Macaca mulatta: one gene and its partners. The protein of the gene in region 1 binds, or shares a complex with, the protein of each later gene. Links are inferred from orthologs where the notes say so. Each region holds a gene or a part of one and is shown in the gene's direction. Other genes may lie near its edges. The genes, in order: SNRNP200, TSSC4, BUD13, RBM48, GPKOW, SNRPD3 and SRRM2.

What was found.
Region 2: the proteins of SNRNP200 (region 1) and TSSC4 are in contact, whole or in part, in a cryo-EM structure (PDB 7PX3), measured with the Homo sapiens proteins. The link is inferred for Macaca mulatta from reciprocal best matches to the Homo sapiens genes SNRNP200 and TSSC4. Residues at the interface, in NP_054733.2 of Homo sapiens: Arg1438, Arg1475, His1502, Lys1748, Gln1749, Val1752, Asp1753, Thr1756, Trp1757, Tyr1761, Arg1762, His1778, Leu1781, Ser1782, Asp1783, Leu1785, Ser1786, Glu1787, Val1789, Glu1790, Gln1791, Glu1807, Met1808, Asn1814, Met1817, Ile1818, Tyr1821, Tyr1822, Asp1928, Ser1931; in NP_001284587.1 of Homo sapiens: Val198, Ser199, Ser200, Phe201, Asn202, Gln203, Asp204, Pro205, Gly211, Arg212, Val213, Ile214, Phe215, Thr216, Lys217, Pro218, Arg220, Gly253, Pro254, Val255, Glu256, Leu257, Ala258, His259, Leu260, Ala261, Gly262, Gly303, Phe304, His305.
Region 3: SNRNP200 (region 1) and BUD13 share a complex: the UniProt entries of both Homo sapiens proteins name them as parts of the minor spliceosome. The link is inferred for Macaca mulatta from reciprocal best matches to the Homo sapiens genes SNRNP200 and BUD13.
Region 4: SNRNP200 (region 1) and RBM48 share a complex: the UniProt entries of both Homo sapiens proteins name them as parts of the minor spliceosome. The link is inferred for Macaca mulatta from reciprocal best matches to the Homo sapiens genes SNRNP200 and RBM48.
Region 5: SNRNP200 (region 1) and GPKOW share a complex: the UniProt entries of both Homo sapiens proteins name them as parts of the minor spliceosome. The link is inferred for Macaca mulatta from reciprocal best matches to the Homo sapiens genes SNRNP200 and GPKOW.
Region 6: SNRNP200 (region 1) and SNRPD3 share a complex: the UniProt entries of both Homo sapiens proteins name them as parts of the U4/U6-U5 tri-snRNP complex. The link is inferred for Macaca mulatta from reciprocal best matches to the Homo sapiens genes SNRNP200 and SNRPD3.
Region 7: SNRNP200 (region 1) and SRRM2 share a complex: the UniProt entries of both Homo sapiens proteins name them as parts of the minor spliceosome. The link is inferred for Macaca mulatta from reciprocal best matches to the Homo sapiens genes SNRNP200 and SRRM2.

The regions. Positions count from the first base shown.
Region 1 is NC_133418.1:5,035,329-5,038,828, reverse strand, and holds part of SNRNP200 (U5 small nuclear ribonucleoprotein 200 kDa helicase), read left to right. Parts: intron 1-1,199; coding exon 1,200-1,392; intron 1,393-1,864; coding exon 1,865-1,920; intron 1,921-3,195; coding exon 3,196-3,294; intron 3,295-3,500. UniProt on the Homo sapiens protein: Catalyzes the ATP-dependent unwinding of U4/U6 RNA duplices, an essential step in the assembly of a catalytically active spliceosome. Plays a role in pre-mRNA splicing as a core component of precatalytic, catalytic and postcatalytic spliceosomal complexes.
Region 2 is NC_133419.1:2,307,463-2,311,472, forward strand, and holds the start of TSSC4 (U5 small nuclear ribonucleoprotein TSSC4), read left to right. Parts: upstream 1-1,210; 5' UTR 1,211-1,258; intron 1,259-2,289; exon of another isoform or gene 2,290-2,430; intron 2,431-2,781; 5' UTR 2,782-2,938; intron 2,939-3,098; 5' UTR 3,099-3,121; coding exon 3,122-4,010. UniProt on the Homo sapiens protein: Protein associated with the U5 snRNP, during its maturation and its post-splicing recycling and which is required for spliceosomal tri-snRNP complex assembly in the nucleus.
Region 3 is NC_133419.1:117,438,531-117,442,030, reverse strand, and holds part of BUD13 (BUD13 homolog), read left to right. Parts: intron 1-994; coding exon 995-1,079; intron 1,080-3,143; coding exon 3,144-3,500. UniProt on the Homo sapiens protein: Involved in pre-mRNA splicing as component of the activated spliceosome. As a component of the minor spliceosome, involved in the splicing of U12-type introns in pre-mRNAs.
Region 4 is NC_133408.1:126,862,844-126,866,810, reverse strand, and holds the start of RBM48 (RNA-binding protein 48), read left to right. Parts: upstream 1-1,167; 5' UTR 1,168-1,197; coding exon 1,198-1,308; intron 1,309-1,861; coding exon 1,862-2,052; intron 2,053-3,967. Other genes in the region: peroxisomal ATPase PEX1, read right to left, coding at 690-818. UniProt on the Homo sapiens protein: As a component of the minor spliceosome, involved in the splicing of U12-type introns in pre-mRNAs.
Region 5 is NC_133426.1:49,204,849-49,208,863, reverse strand, and holds the start of GPKOW (G-patch domain and KOW motifs-containing protein), read left to right. Parts: upstream 1-1,215; 5' UTR 1,216-1,227; coding exon 1,228-1,403; intron 1,404-2,168; coding exon 2,169-2,323; intron 2,324-2,422; coding exon 2,423-2,547; intron 2,548-4,015. UniProt on the Homo sapiens protein: RNA-binding protein involved in pre-mRNA splicing. As a component of the minor spliceosome, involved in the splicing of U12-type introns in pre-mRNAs.
Region 6 is NC_133415.1:28,770,555-28,774,526, reverse strand, and holds the start of SNRPD3 (small nuclear ribonucleoprotein Sm D3), read left to right. Parts: upstream 1-1,172; 5' UTR 1,173-1,190; coding exon 1,191-1,316; intron 1,317-3,972. UniProt on the Homo sapiens protein: Plays a role in pre-mRNA splicing as a core component of the spliceosomal U1, U2, U4 and U5 small nuclear ribonucleoproteins (snRNPs), the building blocks of the spliceosome.
Region 7 is NC_133425.1:4,049,204-4,052,703, reverse strand, and holds part of SRRM2 (serine/arginine repetitive matrix protein 2), read left to right. Parts: coding exon 1-1,726; intron 1,727-1,965; exon of another isoform or gene 1,966-2,060; intron 2,061-2,457; coding exon 2,458-2,745; intron 2,746-3,084; exon of another isoform or gene 3,085-3,500. UniProt on the Homo sapiens protein: Required for pre-mRNA splicing as component of the spliceosome. As a component of the minor spliceosome, involved in the splicing of U12-type introns in pre-mRNAs.

The DNA.
Region 1 (3,500 bases):
GTAGTTAGTGTTGGAACGGAATTGAATTTGAGGACACCAGCTTGTGTCCACTGCACAATTTTTGGATTGGTTGCTGGTGGGGAGGAATTGTCACAGAAGCCTTCTGTGTTAATTGTTGTAAGAGTATAGAGAAAACAAATTTGCTTTATTTCTTTTTTTTTTTTTGAGCTGGAGTCTCGCTCTGCTGCCCAGGCTGGAGTGCAGTGGCGCGATCTCGGCTCACTGCAGGCTCTGCCTCCCAGGTTCGTGCCATTCTCCTGCCTCAGCCTCCCGAGTAGCTGGGACTACAGGCGCCCGCCACCACATCCGGCTAATTTTTTGTATTTTTGGTAGAGATGGGGTTTCACCGTGTTAGCCAGGATGGTCTTGATCTCCTGACCTCGTGATCCACCCGCCTCGGCCTCCCAAAGTGCCGGGATTACAGTTGCAAGCCACCACAGCCGGCCAAGTTTGCTTTATTTCTATATTCTCAGAGCGAGGCGGCCAGAGGATGAGACCGTGTGTCAGAAAAGGAGAGGGTCACAACTGGGAGGCTCCAGATGAACCTTGCCTCTGGATCCCTTTGTGGGATGTACTGGTCTGCAGAAGGGGCTTGTATTTACCGAGCACTCGATTTGTGTGGAACAGCACGTGTCTTTCTCCCGCCCCCTCACGTAACTCCGTGAATAGGTGCTGTTAATACTCATTTTCCATTTTATAGAAGAGAGATGTGAGGCAAGAATAATTAAGTAATTTTCCCAAGTCACAGAAGTAGTATTTGGCAGAGCCAAGATATGATCCAGATAGTTTATATCTAGAATCTGTGTTCCTAACCATTACACATGTGTGATTAGATTGGGGACCATTATGAGTCTGAGGAGCTCTGTTGATGTGGGTGCTAGAGGAAGTGAGGACAAAGAATTACAAAAGTGTGGCAGGCTAGAGGAGATCTGCCAAGTGACTGCCACCTGGAGATGTGGCAAGCTGTTGTGGAAGCTGTGTCCTGCTGCTTGAGGCCACCTAGCTAATCTTTTTAAAAACAGATGAGTCTTCCTTTAGTTGTGGCATTTTAAATCAGCATTAATGAGAAAGATCAGAGCCTAGTATGCAACAGGTTTTGAGAAAGTGTGGCTGTTCGCATCCTGCCGCCACATAAACCTGATTGGTGATGTTCTGTCTGTCATCATTCTCAATATTGATTGGTTGTTTCTTGCTACCAGCCACGTGATATCCTTTGTGGGGCAGCTGATGAGGTTCTAGCTGTTCTAAAGAATGAAAAGCTGCGGGACAAGGAAAGGCGAAAGGAGATTGACCTGCTGCTGGGTCAAACAGATGATACCAGATACCACGTGCTAGTGAACTTGGGAAAAAAGATCACAGACTATGGTGGAGACAAGGAAATCCAAAATATGGGTAAGTGAGCTCTTTATGTCCTGATCATGTTAACTGGTTGTTGTTGACCCCTAAGCATGCATCTTCTAGCATCATTCATTTAAAAACCTTAGTGTCAGTGAGTTCCCATAATTTGTTGTGTGTTTTTTGAAGAGTTATAATTGATAGACACCAGAATCCCTAGATTTCAGCAGCTGTTCCTTACTCTGAGACCCTTTTGTTGTGTAGAATATGGGAGAAAATGTGGGCAGAGCCTTGGGGGCTCAAGTGGTTGAGCAAGCAGAGCTGGGCTGACTCCAGGGCTGGCAGGTGGAGAAGGTCTTGGCAGTGGCAGCATAGGTGGCTCTCTCGTGTTGATCATCTAAGTGCCTGTGTGTGTCCTTAGCACTTAGATCTTTCCTGAGGAGAGGTAGTTGGGGAGGACATTGGCTCCAGAGTGGCTTGTTTTACTAGCCATTCACTGCCCTCTTTTTCTAATCCTTCGTCGTTTCAGATGACAACATTGATGAGACATATGGTGTGAATGTGCAGTTTGAGTCTGATGAGGAGGTGAGTGATAAACAGGCCCAGTCCATTCTTGTTTTTGAAGTTGATGAAGGTAAAGGGACCCCTTGTAGTGTAAAGAAGCTCCCTAGTTTAAACCAGATACATTTTATGGTGGTGTGTGGGTTTCAGACTTAGGCATTATATGTTCTTTTGCTTAAAAAAAATGCAGTTATCTTTTAACTTTTCTACAGCAAATTTAAACTAACAAATGTAAAGCAACGTAATTATTTAAAATATACCAAGTGGATCAGCAAAAAGAAAGACAAAAGATAAAGTACAGTGAATACTTTGAGAATGTATCTGCTATGTTTTACTGCATTTTAAACGTATTACAATATTTTCCCTTTTTTCATTACTGTGTCCCCACTGCCTGTTTCAAAAGATTGCACATTTGCCTTAGAGCATGGCTGTAGTTCGTACATGGTTAAGTCAGTGGAGTTAATGTTTACCGTCTAATAGAATTCCTTGAATATAAATAGGAATAAGTGGGGTACTTTGAAAAAATTACAGAGTGCCTTAGAGTTCTCAGTGAGTAGATTTGGCTCCTGAAAGGGAAAATGGATCCCTGGTATATATACCAGGGCTGGAAGAAGGGGTTGCATGGGGAGAGTTAGAGGACTAGGAGCCAAGACTTCTGAATTTGAGTCCTGTATCTTGGCAGGTCATTTTGCCTCAGTTTCTCTTTCTATAAAATGAGGCGATTTCAATAGGTGATTGCTAAGCCACTTCCTACAGTATAGTTAATAGGATTTGATGATTTTAAGTAGCAACAAACTGCTTTGCTTGTAGCAGTTCATTCATTTAGCAGTGCTCGTTACTGAAGCACCTGCTTTGACTATGACACTGTGCCAAGTATGCCTAATGTGCAGTGTATGAGTAAATGGAGTGGTGAGCAAGCTTAGTGTGATCTCTTCATTCCCGAGTCACCATCTGCTTTCTCAGACGTGCCTCTGCATAGCTCTTCTCTTCTGTTAGCTGATCACTGTTTTTGAGTGTTGATTGTTTGTGTATTAGAAAGAGGCTATGGTCCAGTTGATTGCCATTGTGGCAGCCTAAGGTAAGAAACAGAAAGTAGATGCATCTAATAAGTCTGTGCCAAGCAGTCTTTCTATTACATGTCCACTGGAATAAGGCTGACCTTGGTTCCAGTAGGCTCTCGGTTTCACCCCAAAGCCATTTCTCTAACCATTGAGCTAATTTAGGGTGACTTGAGGGAGAGGTTCTGTGGTGATGCAGGATCAGCTCCAGATAATGGTTGAGTTGGGGCCATTTCCACAGGAAGGTGATGAAGATGTGTACGGGGAGGTTCGAGAAGAGGCATCTGATGATGACATGGAAGGGGATGAGGCTGTTGTGCGCTGCACCCTCTCGGCTAATGTAAGTTCAGTTTGCTTTTTCTCATTGCTGCAAGGTTACTTCTGGGTGTTAGTGCTTCTTCCCCATGCCTAGGTCCTGTTACATTTATTGAGCCGCCTTTTGCTAGAGTGAACCATAATAAACACTTAGTGTCTAGAGTTTCTTAAGATTTCAGTCGGTTTTCTTCCTTCCCAAAGATGTATGTTGATGAAGTCTTAGTCTGGTAT
Region 2 (4,010 bases), on another chromosome or scaffold:
CCGGGGGCCGAGGAGGGGGTCCTGCTTCCCCTCCTTTTCTCTAGGCTGAGCCACAGCAGGTCCTTGAATCCTATTTCCCAGCGGATGCCAGGACAGCAGGCCCTGGGGGAGTTCTCTCTCGAGCCTTTCAGAGGGACCAGAGGTCTAGCAGCCACGGGGAACTCAGATTCCTTGACTGTGTGGGGCATGAACTCTCCCAGCTGAGAAGGAGCACAAGGTGCCAACAGGGCCAGTGGCCAAGGGAGACGCGGCTTGTCGAAGGGAGAACCTGGGCCCTCGTCTTCCCTTTCAGGGCGGGCATCTGACCTGCCCCCTGGACAGGCTCCCAAGCACGGCGGAGGCCAAACCTTCCCGGCTGCCGCCCACCCAGCCACGCTGACTTGGAAGCTTGAGCATTCAGCGGCCTCCATCCTGCCCGGAAGGACCAGGGACCTGGCCCCAGCTTCCCCGCAGAGCCCTCGGGGGACGTCTCAGTGCCTCCCGGAGCCCGGACCAGTGCACCAGAGCTGAGGGCCCAGAGGTGTCAGGGTGGCCGGGCAATTGTGTGAGGACGACGCCCCACAAGTTTGCGGCCAGGGCCCAGTAAACCCCTAGGGGTGGGAAAGCGTCGGCCCAACCAGCGGGTAAAGCCCCCTTCACCCGTGACCCAGCGGCCACGACCCCGCGTCTTCATCTCGGGCTGGGACCGCCTCTGCGTCTGGCCTGAGCGGGACCGTGGGATCCCGGGGAGCCCCGCCTCGCTGCATTGACGAAGCCCAGGAGGAGCGACAGTTACCGCTTCCGGTCATGACCGGAAGTGCTGGGAACGGCATTCGTTCTCCATACGAGATGATGCACTTCCTGCCTGGGGCGGCCGCTGTTCTCGCGGTTTCCGGCAGGTGGCGCTGGGACCACGGGAAGCCGGCCCGGTTGTCGGTTAGCCGTCGAGCATTCTGGGAATTGCAGGCCTGGCCCCTCCTCTTCCTGTTCTTCTTGGTCAATTCCGGTCTTGGTTCCCCAACAAATGCCGTCGTTTCCGGGGCCGCTTCCGAGCCGGACCCAAGGGCCGGGGCGTAGAGGGGCGGGCGCATGCGCACAGGGCTACACATCCCGACAGGCGTCGGGAGTGGAGGCCCAGTGCCTTGTGGGAGTTGTAGTTCTGCAGGTGCGGAAACCGCGGCGCTCCGCCGGCAGAGCACTCGGTTTCCCAGAGGGCTGAGCGCGCCGCGCGGACGTGCGGCGCCGACCAAGATGGAGATTGCCGTGCATCCTTGAGCCGGTAGGTTTGTGCTGATGGAGGACGGGCCACGGTGGCCGGCCGAGCCTCCGGAAGGTCACCGAGCGCAGCTTTAAATTGAGCTCGGAGGCCCCGCTGTGCTTGCCAACCCCCGTACCTTGCGACCGGGCCCTTGGCACCCACAGCATCCTCTTGAGGCCCGGACCCGGGCCTGTCCAGCCCGACTTCGCACCGAGAGCCAACTTGGCACTGAGAGTTCGTTCTTTCCCTGGCGGGGAGGTCTTGCTGGCACATAGAGTGGAGAAAGGCCCGGCTCTGCATTCATGTGGAGAAACAGACGGCTTCCTTCAGTCTCCAGACATGAAGGAGTCAACTCTGCCCTTCCACTCATTGCCGGATCTCGCCGAGAACCCCGAGAACGGACTCCTGGAGTCCCTGTCTTGCAGCCCGATCCCCGCTCCCCCTCGGAGTGCCCCGCTGACCAGGCTGCTTCTGGCCGCGGCGGCGTTCTGCTGCAGAGGACGGGAGTGCGAATCTGGGAAGCAGGGGTCTGGTTGGAACTCCAGCTTCGTCTGCAACATACTGTGTGACTTGGGCAAATTATGGCCCCCGCCCCATTCCTGCCAGTTTTAAAACGGTCATCAGTGTGGGGGGTACTGGGTATCGCCTTTCCCTGGGGTGGCTTCTTCACTGAGGAGAGTCAGGCCTCAGAGGAATTGAGGTCCTTCCTGTGTTTGACCTGGTGGAGGGCACTGACAGTCCCTAATAGTACCCCTGACCCCATCCTTGTTGGGTGCACAAGACACAGGTCACTCTGGGCGGGCAAGGAGTGTTGGTAGCAGGAGAGGAGTCAGTGGATGGATGGCCGAGGACAGTGAAGAAGGGTGTGGATGGGCCGTCTTTTTTGCTTGGAAACGCAAGCTCTGAGGCACCTAGTCACTCTACCGCTAAATGGGTACAGGAGGCAGCATTTGTCTGCCCAGCTGGAAAGGCAAGGTATGTGCTGAGTGTTACAGGAGGAAGGTCACTGGAGGTCGCTCCAGGAGCTGCGGGGATTTGCTTCTGCCTAGCAGGGCTGCTCAAGGTGATGGTCGACACCCCACTTTCCTGAGAGCTTGACCCTCAGATGCCAGGGCCTTGGCTGCAGATTCCTTGGGAGCTCCCGGGGATCTTCCAGCAAATAGGAGCAAACCTTTTCCCCATGGATCAGGAAGGTGCCGGCTCTTTGTGGAGTACCAACTGCTCACCCTGCACAGCAAGCAGCTTATAAGTGGCCTTCCTGCCTGATCTCGGCCCTGGGTTTAAGCCCTGGGTGGCTGCTTACTACTAAAATCGCTTAGTAGCTCCAAGCTTGCCTGCAGAGGGTTGGCACGATTAAATGAGGTAACGAGTCAAAAGTCCCTACCCTGAGTCCTAGCCTGTCAGGGGCTCTGAAAACCCAGACTTAGGTCGGTCCTGCCTGGCACCTTAAGGGGTGACAATGTGCTGGCACTGGACACAACCTGTTTCACACATGTGTGCTCTGGTCTGAGGTTGGTCCTCTCCCCCACCCCACCCACCTGCAGTTGAGCAGCTGAACAGCGGCAATGCTGGGGCACTCCCAGGCCTGAGACGACCACGCCTGTGCCACTGAGGACCTTCAGCAGGGCTCCATTCACCTGGCCCACTTGGCTGTCCAGTCACACTCCAGTGTCAACCACTGGCACCCAGCAGCCAAGAGAGGTGAGAGGAGGGCTTGGAGGGGGAGGCGGGACTCCACCCTGTGTGGGACGGTTCTGTCAGTTGATTCTCTACTTGTCCAGGGGCAGTGGATCTGCAGGGGGAACTCATTCTCAATACTTTTCCTCCTGAGAGACAAACTTCCTGGGCCGTTTTGGTTTAGGTGTGGCGTGGCCCTGGGGACCCATGGCTGATGCAGGGACAGGTGAGCCGTCCCCCAGCGTGGAGGGCGAGCACGGGACGGAGTATGACACGCTGCCTTCCGACACAGTCTCCCTCAGCGACTCGGACTCTGACCTCAGCTTGCCCGGTGGTGCTGAAGTGGAAGCACTGTCCCCGCTGGGGCTGCCTGGGGAGGAGGATTCAGGTCCTGATGAACCACCCTCACCCCCGTCAGGCCTCCTCCCGGCCACGGTGCAGCCATTCCATCTGAGAGGCATGAGCTCCACCTTCTCCCAGCGCAGCCGTGACATCTTTGACTGCCTGGAGGGAGCGGCCAGGAGGGCTCCATCCTCTGTGGCCCACACAAGCATGAGTGACAATGGAGGCTTCAAGCAGCCCCTAGCGCCCTCAGGCCGGTCTCCAGTGGAAGGCCTGGGCGGGGCCCGTCGGAGCCCCGCCTCCCCAAGGGTGCCTCCGGTCCCTGACTACGTGGCACACCCCGAGCGCTGGACCAAGTACAGCCTAGAAGATGTGACCGAGGTCAGCGAGCAGAGCAATCAGGCCGCCGCCCTGGCCTTCCTGGGCTCCCAGAGCCTGGCTGCCCCCACTGACTGTGTGTCCTCCTTCAACCAGGACCCCTCCAGCTGTGGGGCGGGGAGGGTCGTCTTCACCAAACCAGTCCGAGGCGTCGAGGCCAGACACGAGAGGAAGAGGGTCCTGGGGAAGGTGGGAGAGCCGGGCAGGGGTGGCCTTGGGAACCCTGCCACAGACAGGGGCGAGGGCCCTGTGGAGCTGGCCCATCTGGCCGGGCCCGGGAGCCCAGAGGCCGAGGAGTGGGGCAGCCCCCATGGGGGCCTGCAGGAGGTGGAGGCACTGTCAGGGCCTGTCCACAGTGGGTCTGTGCCAGGTCTCC
Region 3 (3,500 bases), on another chromosome or scaffold:
ATGATGGTAGGATTTTCGGAGAAGTAGAGGGCTGTTACGACCTGGATTTAAATTCCAGTTCTGCCACTTGTTAGCTTGTGATATTGAGAAAGTTACTTAACTTCTCTGAGTCAGTTTGCTATTCAGTAGTGTGGAGCCTTTCTTTGCAGGGTTATTGTGAGAATCGAGTTAGATTATATGAGTAAAACACAAAACACAGTACCTTGCACATAGTTGCTACTCTGTAACTAGGATTTATTATGCCATCATTCTTTGAAAATTTGTCATGTGGAAAAGGGATCAGTTGCATCAGAGGTCAGAACTAGAATCAATTCAAAGAAGTTATAGGAAGGTAGAGATGAGACCAGTAAAACTAAGAACTTTCTAACATTTTTGAAAAATGCAGTGGACTGCGTTGTAAGATAATGAGGTCCTTGTCAGGAAGGGATTGGGTGAGTGGCCATTTATTAGGAATACTATAGAGAAGATTCTGATTCGTTCGGAAGTTTGGAAGATAAGAAATGTGGTTTTAGCTCTTAAAGATTAATGATTCTGTGTACATCTCAGTGGCTGTTTTTGGTTGTATTCAAGAAAATCTATTATTGTGACTACCTACAACAAGAAAGGTTTCATAGAAACCCAAAGTCCTTGATTAGTGCTAGGCATGATGGGGGGCCACCGATGTTTTCACTCTTAATGTAGAAGTAAAAGTGTATAGGAATTTAGTGTTAGCTTACAAGTGGCTGTTGTGTACCTAGCAGGTTAATAAAAAGGTTTGTAATGAAAGAAATTAACCTTTGCGGGGAAATTGAATTATCCAACTAATACAGTGACAATCAGGTGCTTATGGAGCTAGCATAACTGAAGACCCCTACTTATTTCTTCATGACCATGTTGGATATGTGTGCGCCCTTAGGTTAGGAATCGGAATGGTTGTAACTTCAGGTTCTTGAGACAGTGCTTCTTGGCTGGATCCTGTGGATTTCCTCAGCATAGGAAATCTTTACTCCCACAGGTGGCAGAGTTTGTGGATGAGCGGCCGGAAGAGGTAAAGCAGATGGAGGCCTTTCGTTCCAGTGCCAAATGGAAGCTTCTGGGAGGTGAGTTCCAACAGTAGATAAATCTAAATCTCCATTAGTAGGGGAGGTCTTTTTTTCTTTTCTACACTTTTCTTTTAGAGGAATGCATAGTTTTTTTTAGCATGTCATTGATCCTGAAAAATAAAGCAGGAAAAAGGAAGCTGGACTTCTTCAGAAGTAGTAAGACATAGGAACTTAGAGACCAGATATTCCTCTTTCTCTTGTATTTTGGCATTAGGGTTACTGAGGTTGGTGACTAATTTGGAGGCCTGTGAGCACCCATTCCTCTGACTCAGAATAGGAGAGCCCTTGGTATATAGGCAAGACTTTGGGAGGAGTTTACAAGAAACAGGAACAGAATTTGGGGACTTTAGCTACCACTGTCCTCTTCCACAATGAAGCAACTCATTTCTGGGGGGGTCAAGGACCAATGTTTTTTGTTCTGTTTGTGTTAGTAAATTTCTCTCTTCTTTCCTTAAATATTGGTATTTTATAGTGCATTACCCTCCACCTGCCCACTTTAGACTCTTCCTAAGCTAATATTTATAACTTAACTCTCTTGAAAAAAATTTGAGTCCTTGAGACTTGGATAAAAAGTGTTTGTGTGTCACATCTGTTTGAGCATAGACTGGTCTTATTTGCCATGATAGTCCCCTGTCTGGCACAAGGAGCTGCCTTTAATAAATATCTGTAGAATTGCTTAATTGCTAGTAGGCATTTGATTTTTGTAGCCTAACCAGAATTCTTTTCCACAGAGAGTCTTTTGGTCTCCATATCTTGTTTGTCTAGGAAGACATACAGACACACACACACAGTGCTTTTCGGTATCTGAATGTTTAGAAAGTCAGTCACACACACTCACTCACTCACTCACTTACTCCTTTTCTTCTGCCTTGCTTTCACTTCCTCATCCCAATCTGTTACTGGAAATACGTTTACCAATCTCTGACCCTTACTTCCTTCAGATTTACTGTTAGGCCCCCCACAGACATCATACTTTTCTCTGTGGAGTGGATTCCAATCAGATAGGCCTGTTCCCCAAAGTAAAGGAGGTGACTTGGTTTAATTCATTCATTTAGCAAGTGTTCATTGGTTCCTGCCCAGCCTTTATTTTTATTTGGGCTATGGGGCTCAATGACAAGAGATAGAGGTAGAGGAAGAACTGGATTTTGAAACCATTCCAGATGCTATAGATGTTTCATTCTGTGGTGCCTTTGAAAATGGAAGGTCTCAAACTTGTATTTTAACTTTAAAGATTTACGTATTTTAAAGATTGCATATGGACTCTGGAGTCAAATAGAGCTGAATTTAAATATTCCTCCACCACTTATTAGCAATATGACTTTGGCAAGTTAATCTTTCTGAGTATTAACTTCCTCATCTATAAAATGGAAATGACAATATTTATGTCCTAGGCTTATGAGAATTGAATCAGGTAATCTCTATAAAACATTGGCACACAGTAGGTGATTGGTAATTACTTGCTCCTTTCTTTTTTTGTGATTTTTTCTGCTCTCTAACAAAGAGCACAGTGAAATGGATTAAATAGTTAACAGCATTTGATTTTGATACTCACCGTTTTAGTCAATTTACCTTTTGAAAGAGGAGTGAGTACAAACTATAAAGTATCTAGGCAAAATATCAGTAGGAGCCACTAGCTGGGAACTCTGCACAAATGAGGTGTTAGAAAGAACATTGGACTGGGAGTTAGAAGACTTGGATTCTAGCCTGTGTCTTCATCTTAGTAGCTGTGACCTTGGGTAAGAAATCGCTCAGCTCCTCAGCTGAAAACAGAGGCTCTGTTCATAATACAAGGGTACCTGCCCTGCTTACCTTAAAGGGTATAATATGAAAAATGTACTGAAAATGCTTTGCAAATTTATGACTTGGTAGGTGGAGGGGTTATTCTTAAGATATTCAGAGTGGTGATTTGCTGCCGCTAAGCAAGAAAACTGTGCAGGCCTTTTGGGCTTTTTGAGCAGTTCTGAGGTATGTGCTGCTGGAGCATGTCTTGAAACTGGGTGTGGGGGTGGACAGAGGGACAGAGCATTTGTGGGAATCTGACTCTTTGTTTTTTGTGTTTAGGCCACAATGAAGACCTACCCTCACACAGGCATTTTCTTCACGATACCCTAGATTCATCTCCTAGGAGAGTCCGTCATGATACCCCAGATTCATCTCCTAGGAGAGTCCGTCATGATACCCCGGATTCATCTCCTAAGAGGGCCCGTCATGACACCCCAGATCCTTCTCCCCTCAGAGGGGCTCGTCATGACTCAGACACATCTCCTCCCAGGAGGATCCGTCATGACTCCTCAGACACTTCACCTCCAAGGAGGGCCTGTCATGATTCTCCAGATCCTTCTCCTCCCAGGAGGCCTCAGCATAATTCTTCAGGTGCATCTCCTAGGAGAGTCCGTCATGATTCACCAGATCCCTCTC
Region 4 (3,967 bases), on another chromosome or scaffold:
CCCCATAACCACACTCAAACTCGTGAGACCATGTGCCTCTATTTTTAATTACGAAAATAAGGACGCTGTATCTCCACCGGTGGTTAGAACTGCGAAACATCCCAACCACAACGTCCAGAAGGGCGACTGATCGCAGAGCTTCAAGTGATCTTAACTACGTTATGTGTTCCTGACACACTACAGCTGTGTTCCGAGGGTCTGGGACGCAGGGCAGAACCATTACTGTATTAAGCTTTCCCGCTCATGGGACGCGGTGCTCAGTCCCCGGGGACCGACAGGGGCTCCACCAACAACTCTGCGCCTCCCTCTCGCGGCCCGGACGGCAGCAGCGCAGGTAACTGGAAATGACTGGCAAGAAAAGCACCTTTTAAAATAACAAAAACAAACCACTTATCAGGAACTTTTCCAGCCTGGAATGAGGAATATTTATAAAAACAGTGGTAGAATATTAGGACATTTCTAGGCCCAGTTTCACCAAGTGAAAAGACCTGGGATAAGACGAGCCCAGGGCTGCACTGGACTTGCGGGATGCAGAGACTAACCAGAAGGGCCCTGCCGTCGAGGGACCCTAATCTCTGTACGCTTCGGGGGCGCCCGGGTGGCAGCCGGTGTCCCGCCGCGTCCCTGAGAGGCTTCGGCCTTGTCCGACCCCAGGCTGAAGATCAGGTGGCCCGGGGCCAGCACGTTACCTGCAGCAGGTGCAGCTGGGCCACGAGACCCCGCGGCAGGTGGAGGAAGCAGTCGCGAGCGTTGGTGAAGGCCACAGTCACTGCCGCCCCGCCTCCCCCAGCACCCGCCAGGCGATCGCTGCCCCACATCGTCCCGAAGCGTCGCTCTGGGTTTGCCCACCCTAGCGCCGCAAAGGACACGGGACCTGGCAGGCCGAGGACGTCGGAACCGGAGGAGATCGATCGGCCCCGCCCCCTGAGGCCCCGCCCCCTCTCCCCGCTGCGCGTCTCGCCGTAAGCCTGTAGTGGGGTGGGACAAGAAAGCTTCTGTCACCCACCGCGCCTCTCCGCCAAGCCGCTCGGGGGCGGCACCTCGTTCATCAAATCCTCGCACGCAGGAAACGATGGCCGACGCTGTCGATTCTTCAGCCAATCCTGACACTCCTTAACTCATCCCGCTCTCTTATTGGATAAAAGGGAGGTCAGCAGGGCGGATGTTGTCCTCCCTGCGAGGATCAAAGTAGGCAAGATGGCGTCCAGCGGTGGGGAGTTAGGGAGTTTATTTGACCACCACGTCCAGAGGGCGGTGTGCGACACGCGGGCCAAATATCGGGAGGGACGACGGCCTCGTGCTGTCAAGGTAAAGTGATTTTTGGTTTCATTCGCTCTCCTCGGTAGCTTTTTGTGAGCGCTAGCGCCATATGGCTAACCTACGGAAATAAAGGCACGACAAGGCTTCCGTCAGATCTGTCGCTCATTAGAGCTGGCGTGAAGAACCCTGGGCCAGGTACCAAAGATTCTCACGACCCTTTTGGTCAACTATTAGAACATCAACTCCACGAGAATAGGGCTTGGTTTTAGTCATTGGATCTTCAGTGTTTACAGTACTACTTGGCACAGGTAAGCGCTCAGTGAATATTCGTTGAGTGATTGTTCCCAGTGACTTCTGCCGACTCAATTTCTGGAAAAAAATGTCGACTGAAGGTAGTCTGTTATATGCCTTAGGTAGCCTCTCACATGGACTGTTACTCTTTATGCAGAGGGAATGGCAGAAATTTTATTTTGTGTTTTTTGCTGACTGGGTTGAACAGATTATTTCTTGTTTTCAAAGTTCTGTTTAAAAAAAAAAATAGAGGCAGATTCGTCCTAGGCTTATTTGCGAAATACGTTTAATAACTATGCATTTCTTTCAGGTATATACAATCAATTTGGAATCTCAGTACTTATTAATACAAGGAGTTCCTGCTGTGGGAGTCATGAAGGAATTAGTTGAGCGATTCGCTTTATATGGTGCAATTGAACAGTACAATGCGCTAGATGAATACCCAGCAGAAGACTTTACTGAAGTTTATCTTATTAAATTTATGAACTTACAAAGTGCAAGGTAAGGTGCAAGTTAAGCAATGACTCGTTTCATTTCCTCCATTCATATTTCTGTCATTTTGGCCCCAAGTTTCCCTCATTCATATCTGAATTACCCCAAAATGTAATCTAGCATATCTTCCTACAGCCTTTTTACAGGTTAACTTTACTGAAACACTGTATCCATCACATCCCATGCTTAACAATTTAATGTCCTGTAGCGTGGTAGAGTAAAAGTTGGGTTTGGCCAGGCACGGTGGCTTACGCCTGCAATCACAGCACTCTGGGAGGCCGAGGCAGGCGGATCACGAGGTGAGGAGTTTGAGACCAGCCTGGCCAACATGGTGAAACCCCGTCTCTACTAAAAATACAAAATTAGCCGGGTCTAGTGGCGCATACCTGTAATCCCAGCTACTCAGGAGGCTGAGGCAGGAGAATTGCTTGAACCCAGGAGGCAGAGGTTGCAGTGAGCCGAGATTGCGCCATTGCACTCCAGCCAGGGCAACAAGAGGGGATCTCCGCCTCAAAGAAAAAAAAAATGGGTTTGAGGGCTGGGCGCCAATAACTCACGCCTCACGCCTGTAATCAGAGTACTTTGGGAGACCGAGGCAGGCAGATCACTTGAGGTCAGGGGTTCAAGACCAGCCTGGCCAACATGATGGAAACCCCGGCTCTACTAAAAATACAAAAATTAGCTGGGTGTGGTGGTGCAGACCCGTAGTCCCAGCTACTCAGGTGGCTGAGGCATGGGAATCGCTTGAACCCGGGAGGTGGAGATTGCAGTGAGCAGAAATCACACCACTGCACTCCAGCCTGGATGACAGAGCGAGGCTCTGTCTCAAAAAAAAAAAAAAAAAACAGAAAAAATTTGGGTTTGGCGCCAGGCATGTGGCTCACACCTGTAATCCCAGCAGTTTGGGAGGTGGAGGTAGGCGGATCACCTGAGGTCAGGAGTTCAAGACCAGTCTGGCCAACATGGTGAAACCCTGACTCTACTAAATACAAAAATTAGCTGTGTTGGTGCAAGCCTTTAATCCCAGCTCCTGGGGAGGCTGAGGCACAAGGATCACTTGAACCCAGAAAGTAGAGGTTGCAGTGAGCCAAGATCATGCCATTGCACTCCAGCCTGGAAAGAGTGAGACTGTCCCAGAAAAAAAGAAAAGAAAAGAAAAAAAAGTTGAATTTGATCCCAGCACTATGGAAGGCCAAGGTGGGCAGACAGCTTGAGCCCAGGAGTTCGAGACCCGACTGGCCAACATGGCAAAACCTCACCTCTGCTAAAAATACAAAAATCAAGGTGGGCGTGGTAGTGCATTCCTGTAGTCCCAGCTACTTGGGAGGCTGAGGTGGGAGAATCAGTTGAGCCCAGGAGGTGGAGGTTGCAGTGAGTCATTTATGGACCACTGCACTCCATCTTGGGTGATGGAGTGAGACTATGTCTCAAAAGAAAAAAAAATGTTGGGTTTGGAGTAAGTTTTCCATTTCCACTGCTTACTAGCTTTGTGATCTTGGACAAGTTATTTAACCTGTTTAAGTTTTTCCTGTTCCGTAAAATCTATATGGTAAAGGGACCTATCTACTTCTTGAGGTTGTATGAGGATGAAATGAGATAATCCATATAAAGGGTTTAGCAGAGTGCCTCCTGGTCAGAATACAGTAAGCATTAGCTATTGTGGTTTCTACTGTTACTCCTTTCTGCAAATTGACTCAGTGTTTTCCGGCCTTCTATGTGACATAAACCCTCTGCTCCAAAAAGGCTGAAGTATGCAATGCCTTATCTATTTTTATGTTGATCTCTGTTCTCCTCACTAATCTGCTCTGAGACCCATCCTTCTCTGGCTGTTACAATTCATATTTTCTTTCATGTGCTATCAGTAGAAATCATAATCTACCACAAAAGCACTTGATTTTACTGGGTCATGTGTGGTTTTCTCAGG
Region 5 (4,015 bases), on another chromosome or scaffold:
CTTTCTTTCTTTCTTTTTCTTTTTTAAGACAGAGTCTCGCTCTGTCGCCCAGGTTGGAGTGCAGTGGCGGGATCTCGGCTTACTGCAAACTCTGCCTCCCGGGTTCAAGCAATCCTCCTGTCTCAGCCTCCTGAGTAGCTGGGACTACAGGTGCCACCACCAGCCCGGCTAATTTTTGTATTTTTAGTAGAGACAGGGTTTCACCATATGAGTCAGGCTGGTCTCAAAGTCCTGACCTCAGGTGATCCACCAGCCTAGGCCTCCCAAAATGCTAGGATTACAGGCATGAGCTACCACGCCTGGCCAGTAGGCACTTTATGTCTATTATTTACTATTGTAGACAACTGACACTCCTTCCCCCGCCCCCGACCCTGACTTTTTCTTTTTTAGAGACGGGGTATCGCTCTGTCACTCATGCTGGAATGCAGTGGCGCGATAGGAGCTAAGTGCAGCCTCGAACTCCTGGGCCTCAGGCCATCCTCCTGCCTCAGCCTGTGGGCTAAATGAAACTACAGGTGCACGCCACCACACCTGGCTGATTATTTCTAAATGATTTACTTCATCAACACTTCCCACATGAGTAGGGCACACAGTAGGCGCTCCATAAATACTTGTCAAACGCCTACACGAAGGAATCAATGCCTGGCAAGAATGAATCCACCTTCCACCATGCCTACCTCGCTAAAAACTACATTTCCGGCCGGGCGTGGTGGCTTACGCCTGTAGTCCCAGCACTGTGGGAGGCCGAGGCAGGCGGATCACGAGGTCAGGAGATGGAGACTATCCTGGCTAACACGGTGAAACCCGTCTCTACTAAAAATACAAAAATTAGCCGGGCGTGGTGGCGCATGCCTGTAGCCTCAGCTACTCGGGAGGCTGCAGCAGGAGAAGCGCTTGAACCCGGGAGGCAGAGGTTGCAGTGAGCCGAGATCACGCCACTGCACTCCAGCCTGGGCAACAGAGCAAGACTCCATCTTAAAAAAAAAAAAGAAACAAAAACAAAACAAAACAAAAAAAACTACATTTCCCTGTGCACTTGGCGCGACGCACTCCCACGACGTTTGAAAGAGCGACAATTACTTCCCACGGCCCCTTACCGCCCCCTCCCGCCGGTGCCACAGTGGTTGATGGGAAGGTAGTTTTTACGCACTTTGGCCGGCCCCTAGCGATCTGAACCCAAACTAAATTTCCCAGCAAGCAGCGCGCAGGCCTGGGAAAAGTGGCAAGATGGCTGACTCCGAAGAGGGTGTTTTGCCGCTGACGGCTGCTTCCACTGCCCCAATTTCATTCGGCTTCACTCGCACGTCCGCACGGAGGCGGCTGGCCGACTCGGGAGACGGCGCGAGGCCATCTCCGGAGGAGAAGGATTTCTTGAAAACCGTGGAAGGGAGGGAGCTGCAGAGGTGACGCGCCGGGTCTTTCACACCTTGGAAATCGCTGCGGTGGGCGTAAGCGGGAGGGAGGAACCTCACTCAGTCGTTTGTCTTGGTGACAGTGACCTGTTAAGCCTGAAGCACAGCCTGAGTAAATTCGTGAAGGCCAGAAGGCTGGAGTTTATAAGAGGGGTGGGGAAATTGGGCCTGATAGCCGTGGGAATTGCGAAGAGAGGATGTATCACTGAGAAGAAGTGTCTTTAGGACTTGAGGACACTGAGGTGTGTGCGTTCTGGGAGAAGGAAAGAATGAGAAAATGACAGGACCTGCTAGTGTCTCAGCTGAAGTGGTGGGGCTTCTCTGATATGGGGAACGGGATGGAGCGGCAGATTCAGGTTGATGGAGGCCACCATCAGCTTAATGAGGAGAGGAGAGTCTGAGGGAGGGATTTCCAGAAGAGAATCAGGCATCTGGGAAGCTGTTTGGGAACCTGGAGCTAGGGAGGGTCTAGGCTGAAGATAGTGATTTGTGGGCCATTGTGGAAGCCGGTCTTGAGTTAAACAGAGAGTCCAGGACTTATTTCTCGAAGGCACTGACATTTACGAGTTGGGGGCACTGGGGGGGATAATCCAAAGAATGCACGATCAGAGAGGTACAGGAGATCCAGACATGGAGTAGAGAAGGCATGGTCTGTGGGGCTGGGGTGAGTTTGGCTCTCGTGTTTTCTCTGAATAAAGGAGTGTGACCCACTGACACTGCCATTCTCCCAACCCCACCCCTCTGTGTCCACATCAGTGTGAAGCCCCAGGAAGCCCCCAAGGAACTCGTCATCCCTTTGATCCAGAATGGCCATCGCAGGCAGTCACCAGCCCGGCCCCCTGGGCCATCCACAGATACTGAGGCCTTGGCAGATGGGGTGCTGTCCCAGGCTGTGAAGGAGCTCATTGAGGGTGAGTGATGCCCCTTTACCCTTCCCCAGTGAAGGAAGAAGATGAAGAAGGTGGAAGGATAGAGTGGGACTTCATTGCTCCCTCCTATTCTTCCCTTAGAATCCAAGAAGTCTCTGGAAGAGAGAGAGAATGCGGGTGTCGACCCCACGCTCGCTATCCCCATGATCCAGAAAGGATGCACCCCCAGCGGGGAAGGGGCAGACAGCGAACCCCGGGCAGAGACAGTGAGCTGGCCCCTTGTCCCCCTCCTGCCCCAGCCTTTCTTTGCCCTGTCTGCTAGGCTGTGTCCCTGCACATAGCAGGGAAAGTCTGTGTGCTAGAGGCCCGCCACCTGTCCTTTCTCCTGTCATCCTTTTTGGAAGCATTACCAAATGAATCTGGATATCTGGATGCTAAAAACGTACTTGAATCCTAGGATTATCTGAATGAGGTGTGCAGCAAAGGGAACAGGAAATGTAAAGGCCCTGAAGGTAGACACTGCCTAGAGTGTTTGCGGAACACCAAAGAGACTAGTGTGACTGAAGTGGAATGAGTGAGGGGAAGGGATAGTAGACGAAGTCAGAAAGGAGATGGGGGTGCTAGACAAGGCAGGGCCTTGTAGGCCATTGTGAGGACTTTGGCTTTTACTCTGAGTGGGATGAGAGCCTAGGCAAGCCCTGAGCATAGATGAAATATGATTTATGATTTGACAGCATCCCTCTGGCTGCTGTGAACAGACTCATTAGTGAAGGTGGAAGCAAGGGGATGAGTAGTCCAGGCTAGAGATGCTGGGGACTTAGACCAGAGTGGTCTGGAAGGATAAGTAGGGTTTAGTGAGAGGGAAGAACAGAGTGAGTGTTCCTGTTGGTAGTAACAGCCCAAGCAATGGCATAGTGGCAGAAAATCGATGTGGTGTGTGTCCATCAGTGAGGCAACATGTGGTGTGTCTGGAGTGAATGGGAAGGAGTGATGATGGAAGGTGACGAGGAGATGTGAGAGGCGTGTCTACAGGAGTAACCAAGTCTGTCTTTCATACCCACAGACCTGACTTTTCACCTCTTCTTTCATAAATTTCTTACATTGCTTCTTTGGAGTCTAGTTCTCCTACAGCCCCAGAACACTCTCTTTCAACTGAACTGTTCTCTTCAGCCTTCAGATGTGCTCTGATTTCCTTCAATTTTTTTTTTTTTGTTTGTTTTTTGTTTTTTGAGACAGAGTCTTGCCCTGTGGCCCAGGCTAGAGTGAAGTGGTACGATCTCGGCTCACTGCAACCTCCCGCTCCCGGGATCAAGCGATTCTCCTGCCTTAGCCTCCCAAGTAGCTGGGATTACAGACACGTGTCACTACCGCCTGGCTAGTTTTTGTATTTTTAGTAGAAACGAGGTTTCGCCACGTTGGTCAGGCTGGTCTTGAACTCCTGACTTCAGGTGATCTACCCACCTTGGCCTCCCAGAGCGCTGGGATTACAGGCATGATCCACTGTGCCCAGCTCCTTCATCTTTAAAGAAAAAAAAGATCCTCACTTCCCTCTTCATCCTTTCATCCTGTTCCAGCTTTAACCTCATTCCTCTAATTTTTCCCTCTATAAACCTCCTCCTGCAGCTTTATACATATCAGGTGACCAAAAATTCCATCCATCCTTCCTCTCACTCAGCATAAAAACCTTGGAGTCGGCCAAGCCTGTAATCCCAACACTTTGGGAGGCTGAGGTGG
Region 6 (3,972 bases), on another chromosome or scaffold:
GTGAGCCATCGCGCCCAGCCGGTCATTTTTTAAAAAGTTCTTTGCATCTCTGCCCCCAGCTCCCTTTCAGGCAGTGGTCCCGTCATGCTTTCCACACTGTTGCAGCAGTTTTAACTGTTGCAGAAATTTTAACAAGTTTCTCTGCTTCTAAACCTTACGTTAGATCCATTTTGTAAATAAATGCTGCTACCTTTTCATTGTGTCATTCTTTACCTATAATTTTGCAGTGGTTCCCCACTATCTTCAGCATAAAATCTAGGCTCCTAAGGCTGAAAGCCAGGGATCCTCACCAAAGGAGCCTGTCTTTTCAACCTCATGTTCTCCTGTCTTAGGTGCACTTAGGTTCCAACTTTGAGTCGTCGCTCATGTCAATAAAAAGTTCACTACTTGATGCTTTTAATTAGGTCAAGTCAGGTGCTTTCCCTTATTTTCCTCCATGACGGGCATTTCCTGCATATAGCACGTTGTCACTTTGATATTTTCTCAATATCCTTGATGGTAAAGTAAGGGAAGGGTTAAAGAGCTGCATTAAAAGTACAGTCTCCTCTCCTAGATATGCATGGTCCTTAGGTCTGTATCTGCTCCTTCCGTAGGGTAGCCACCAGCTACATGTAGCTGTTGAGCACTTGGAATATGGCCACTGGGATTGAGGGACTGGGTTTTTTATTTTAATTCTATTGTGTTTTAGTTAAGTTTAATTTAAATAGCTACATGTGGACATGAGCTACTGTATTGGACAGCTCAGGCCTGTGTTATGATTGTCAAAATGTAATAATCTACAATTAAGGGTTGACAAATAACAGTGCAACAGATTAACATTCCAATCCCCCTCCCCTACACACACAGTATTCGCTAATGGTCCTTTAGCTGAAGATTAAGGGACATAGGGTAGCAGGGACACATGGTCGATGGGAGATGCTCTCTTTTCATTCCTGTTTTTACTTCTGTCCACCCCACCATTCCTCCTCACCCGACATCTTGCACATATTTGCCAGATAGTTTCCTCCAAGCCAGGAGCTGAGCTTTCTTTTTTCTTTTTCTTTGATAGAAAATGCAGCTTTGGCGTTTTTGCTAAGTTTTATGGAGTGCCAGGCCTTGAAGGAGGCATGACGTGTGCCGCATGCCTTCTCAGACTCTGAAAGATGAACTGACTGTTGTCTCTTTCACTGTAGAGCTCTCTTCCTGCCAAGATGTCTATTGGTGTGCCAATTAAAGTGCTGCACGAGGCCGAGGGCCACATTGTGACATGTGAGACGAACACCGGTGAGGTATATCGGGGGAAGCTCATTGAAGCAGAGGACAACATGAACTGCCAGGTATTCTGCTTTGCATGTGAGGCTGTGTGGGAGGAATGGCCCTGTGTCTTGAAGGACAGAAAGGTGTGGGTTGGGGGTCTTCTGTAAATTGTTCTCATTCAGCAGTGATTTCCTGAGTGCCTAACACATACCAGTCAGGTGCTGTTATAGGCTCTGGGGATGTGGGCATGAACAAAACACATAGTCTTGAGGCAGAAAAGCCATTTGGAGATTTGGAATATTTTACTTCGCCTTTTTTGTTTTTTCCATCCCCAAATTTGGGGACCTGTTTGGGAGAAGTTCCTTCAGTAGAATCCTTCAGGTTCAGAGCCATTATCCATTTGCCTCCACTTGCTTTGCAGTTAGGAGAATCTTCTCACATACTGTGTTTGTTTCCCTTTTCTCTTGGAGGAGGAGTCTCATTTGATTATTGCAACTACCTTGTGAGGTAAGCAGGTTTGGTGGTAGTCTTGTCATCCATAAAATAGGGAGAATGAGATTAAAGGACTCATCACTCTGATAGTAAATAATGGAGTAGTTTCTTGATACGGTGTCCTTCTCATGGCGCAGCTTTGCCTTTTGCATAGTCATCTGAATTTTTATAGCATTGTTTTTCAGTTGTATCTTCACACTTTCTTTGTTCTTTAAACCATTGGTTAAGAACTTGGACTTGGGAGTCAGAGAGAGATGTGGGTTTGATTCCTAATTATATGACCTTAGATGTATTAATCACTCAGTTTTCTCATCTGTAAAACGGGAGTGTTATTATTTTGGGTTCTTTGATGTAGATGCCAAGACAGAATTATGCAAGGTATTTATTGGGGGAAATGACAATAAAGGATAAAGGAACAAGGAAACAGTAGTAGGCAGGGAAATTTTCAGTCCGTGATGCTGGTCTGACTGGTGAAACGAGAGGGGAAAGAAGGAGGATTGAGCAGGAAGAACCTTAGACTACAGTGTAGTTTTGAGGAAGTCTCAGCAAGGCAGTGATTGCTCATTAGAAGAATCTAACATGGGGCAGAAATGGGCAGACTGGCACCCCTGGTGTGTTCATTCCATTGGCTGGCAGCCTGGGGAGACAGTCTCTCTCCCCAAGTTGAATGCCATGGTGGACTGCAAAGATGGAGATTGTCGGCTGCCTTCACTCCTCATAGCCTGTTTTCTTTTGGAGGGAGATCTGAGCAGCACACCCTTAAGACTGCCACAGGGATAATATCCACACCCCCAGGACTTTTACAAAGATCAGATGAGCTATATGTGTGCAATAGCTGCTCGGTGCCTCACATACTGTAAGTGTTCAACGTATGGTGTTTACTGCTTTTTTCCAGATGAGAAGGTCAGAGAGGTAAAGCGTCTTACACCACGGTCAGGTATCCTGACCATCTATTGGTTTGCGCCATTCATTTATTTGTGATTTTTCTGTAGCTTTGAGCGTCTATCATCTTCCTGCGAGGTTGACAAGCTTGGTCAGTTCCCTGGATGCAGAGAAGTAGACCTCTGGTGACTCAGGTTTATTGCATCATTGTCAATAGATCAGTTTATCTATTGACAGTAGATAGGTTTATCATCTCTCTTTCATATATCCAGACCTCTGGCTTAAGGCATGCTCATCCACTTTAAGGTACTTTAATTTGGTGAGGAGAATGCAGGACTTGGGTTAGTGAATCTTAATGGGTTTGTCATCTAGCTATATGTATTTGGACAACCTGCTGGGTTTCCAGGGCCTTTGTCATCCCATCCATAACATGAAGGTGTCTAACCAGATAACCTCGGTGGCCATTCAGAGATGCAGTCCACGTGACACAAAGTGCACAGAACTTGGAGTCAGACAGACCTGGAATCAGCTTGCAGCCTGCCACCTAGGGTGACTTGGGGTGAGCTTTGGACCTCCTTCGTCCTCTGGTCCCTCTTCTAAGTCAGGGATAAAAATAGCTCCTTGGCTTCAGAAGGAACCATAGTGCAGAAGAAATGAGTAGATGCATGTCACATGCCTGACCAATGGTGGGGGGGCAGCCACCTGCCTCCCTGCTTGTATTTGTATGCTAGTGCTGCCAATAACAAAGTTTCACAGATTGGGCAGCTTAGACAACACAAATTTGTTTTCTCCTAGATCTGAAGGCTGGAAGTCTGAGATCAAGGTGTTGGCAAGGCTGATTTCTTCTGAGGGATGTGAAGGAAGGATCTGTTCCAGGCCTCTCTCCTTACTTATAGATGACTCTCTTCTCCCTGTGTCTTCACTTGGTCTTCACTCTGTAGTGTTTCTGTCTAGATCTCTTCTTATAAGGATACCAGGCATGTAGAAATAGGGCCCACTCTAATGACTTTTCTTAACATAAAGTTTTTTTTTTAATAAAGTTTTTTTTTTTTTTTTTTGAGATGGAGCCTTGCTCTGTCGCCCAGGCTGGAGTGCAGTGGCGCGATCTTGGCTCACTGCAACCTCCGCCTTCCAGGTTCAAGCGATTCTCCTGCCTCAGCCTCCCAAGTAGCTGAGACTACAGGCACCTGCCACCATGTCAGCTAATTTTTGTATTTTTAGTAGAGACGGGTTTCACCATATTGGCCAGGCTGGTCTCGAACTCCTGACCTTGTGGTCCACTTGTCTCAGCCTCCCAAAGTGCTGGGACTACAGATGTGAGCCACCATGCCCGGCTTGCCTTTTTTTTTTTTTTTTTTTTTT
Region 7 (3,500 bases), on another chromosome or scaffold:
GAAGAAGGTCCCGCTCTCGAACCTCACCAGTGACACGCCGCCGCTCTAGGTCCCGGACACCTCCAGCTATTCGGCGCCGCTCTAGGTCTCGAACGCCACTGTTGCCACGCAAACGTTCTCGAAGTCGCTCACCACTTGCTATCCGGCGCCGCTCCAGATCCCGTACTCCACGAGCAGCTCGGGGCAAACGGTCCTTAACAAGATCTCCTCCAGCCATCCGCAGGCGTTCAGCATCTGGAAGTAGTTCTGATCGTTCACGATCTGCTACTCCTCCAGCAACAAGAAATCATTCTGGTTCGCGGACACCTCCGGTAGCACTCAACAGCTCCAGAATGAGCTGCTTTAGTCGTCCTAGCATGTCCCCAACACCTCTTGACCGCTGCAGATCACCTGGAATGCTTGAACCCCTCGGCAGCTCTAGAACACCCATGTCTGTCCTGCAGCAAGCCGGTGGCTCCATGATGGATGGTCCAGGTCCCCGAATACCTGACCACCAGAGAACATCTGTGCCAGAAAATCATGCTCAGTCCAGGATTGCACTTGCCCTGACCGCTATCAGTCTTGGCACTGCTCGGCCTCCTCCGTCCATGTCTGCTGCTGGCCTTGCTGCAAGAATGTCCCAGGTTCCAGCCCCGGTGCCTCTCATGAGTCTCAGAACCGCTCCAGCAGCCAACCTTGCCAGCAGGATTCCTGCAGCCTCTGCGGCAGCCATGAACCTAGCCAGCGCCAGGACACCTGCCATCCCAACAGCAGTGAACCTGGCTGACACTCGAACGCCAGCTGCAGCAGCGGCCATGAACTTGGCCAGCCCCAGAACAGCGGTGGCACCTTCGGCTGTGAACCTGGCTGACCCTCGCACTCCCACAGCCCCAGCTGTGAACCTAGCAGGGGCCAGAACCCCAGCTGCCTTGGCAGCTCTGAGTCTCACAGGCTCTGGCACCCCACCAGCTGCTGCAAACTATCCCTCCAGCTCCAGAACACCACAGGCTCCAGCCTCTGCAAACCTGGTGGGTCCTCGGTCTGCACATGCCACAGCTCCTGTGAATATTGCCGGCTCCAGAACCGCTGCAGCCTTGGCCCCCGCGAGCCTCACCAGTGCTAGGATGGCTCCAACATTGTCTGGTGCAAACCTCACCAGCCCCAGGGTGCCCCTCTCTGCCTATGAGCGTGTCAGTGGCAGAACCTCACCACCGCTCCTTGACCGAGCCAGGTCCAGAACACCACCGTCTGCCCCAAGCCAGTCTAGAATGACCTCTGAACGGGCTCCCTCCCCTTCCTCTAGAATGGGCCAGGCTCCTTCACAGTCTCTTCTCCCTCCAGCACAGGATCAGCCGAGGTCTCCTGTGCCTTCTGCTTTTTCAGACCAGTCCCGTTCTTTGATTGCCCAGACCACCCCCGTAGCAGGGTCTCAGTCCCTTTCCTCTGGGGCGGTGGCAACGACCACGTCCTCTGCTGGTGACCACAATGGCATGCTCTCTGTCCCTGCCCCCGGGGTGCCCCACTCTGATGTGGGGGAGCCACCTGCCTCTACTGGGGCCCAGCAGCCTTCTGCATTAGCCGCCCTGCAGCCAGCAAAGGAGCGGCGGAGTTCCTCCTCCTCCTCCTCGTCCTCTAGCTCTTCTTCCTCCTCCTCATCGTCGTCGTCCTCGTCTTCCTCCTCTGGCTCCAGTTCTAGCGACTCGGAGGGCTCTAGCCTTCCTGTGCAACCTGAGGTGGCACTAAAGAGGTGAGGGAGCTTGACTTTAGCATCCTTCAGTGGGGAGGTATTGGGGATGGGTTGGGAGTGGGGAGGGAGAAACCATGTCACAGGTGCTTGACTCTTGGAGGAGGTATGGGGACCTTGACCCTCAGGCTGGGGGTAGAAGAGAATGCTGGGGCGGGGGCGGAGGGAGGAGGAGTGGGACAGATAAAAGTCTCCGAAGGTTCATTCTCTAGAGGATAATGATAAGTTTTCCGTCTCTACAGAGGACAGAACTAGAGGAAATGGACTTAATTTTACAGCAGGAGGGATGGCAGTTAGACCTCAAGAGGAACTCCCTGGGCTGGAAGGATCTTCAGAGGTCATCCCATCCCTCTCCCTGCCTCCAGGCAGGACGGCCCCTTCCCCAGCCAACCTGCACTCACAGGGGCCTCCCCAAGCTGCGGCTCTCCGAGGAAGGAGACTACCCAGCTTCAGCTTCCACACCTGAGCCCAGAGGCCTTATTCCTCCATCAGGGACATTCTTGAGGTTTAACCTTGATCCCTTATGCTGCGGGCCCCAGCCTGTTGCTTCTGTTAGCAGAGGTTGGGTCAGCTCGCACCACTGCTCTCCAGAGAATTGCTGGCTTACAGGGCTAGGAGAGCTCCCAGCACCTTTCTCAGGCACCCCTCCCCCCACTGCCGTTCCTCCAGGCCAAGGAAGGTAGGGTTGGGGCTGGGGCAGCTTGTCTCCTTGTGACACTCTTCTCCTCCCACAGGGTCCCCAGCCCCACCCCAGCCCCAAAGGAGGCTGTTAGAGAGGGACGTCCTCCGGAGCCAACCCCAGCCAAACGGAAGAGGCGCTCTAGCAGTTCCAGTTCCAGCTCCTCCTCTTCATCTTCCTCCTCCTCCTCCTCCTCCTCTTCTTCCTCCTCCTCTTCTTCCTCTTCCTCTTCCTCCTCCTCTTCCTCTTCCTCCTCCTCTTCCTCGCCTTCCCCTGCTAAGCCTGGCCCTCAGGCCTTGCCCAAACCTGCAAGCCCCAAGAAGCCACCCCCTGGCGAGCGGAGGTGAGTGCTGCCTTGCCTGAGATGGAAGGAGGGTGGGGGAGTGACTTATCCAGAGACAGGGCCCTGGGGTGTGAGCTCCCGGCTGGGTGTCTCACGTGACCTTGGGCATCTGGTTGTGGGGGAAGAGGCGCTTGTTCTCTCCCCCGCTTGTTGCACCTTGTTCTGGCGAAGGGCTGCGCCATCCACAGGGGCGCTCAGGCCAGGACTGGGGGGTCCTTGGTTTCTTCCTCTCCCTCCCTCAACACATAGCCTGGTCCCAGGGTTCTAGCTTTGTCTCCCTGTTGCTACTGCCAGGGCTCTGGTCTGGCCACCATCATCTTCTCCCGACTCTGTCCACAGCCTCCTCCCTGTCTCCCCGCCTCCACGCCATTCTCTTCCACATGTAGCCAGAGGGACCTTTCTAAAACGCACATCTGGCTACTTCCCTCCACTCCACAAATCCTTCGGGACGCCCTGTGGCCTGCAGGACAAAGCCCCACCTCTGCGGGAGTGGCGTGTGAGGCTCTTCACCAACGGGCCTTGCCCGCCCTGTGTTCTCCTCCTGCCCGCCCCCACACATGCCCTGTGCTCCAGCCACACCCAGCGCCTTGCAGTTTAAGGAGAGCCCATGCCTTTGGACATGCTGTTCCTTCTGCCTGGAATTTCCTTGTCCGCCTGGTGAACTCCTCGTTCTGCAAGACTCCGCTCAAACAGCACCTTCGAGAAGACTGCCCTGCCCCTTCCCTGCCCTGCCCTATGTCCTCCTTCCTTGGGTC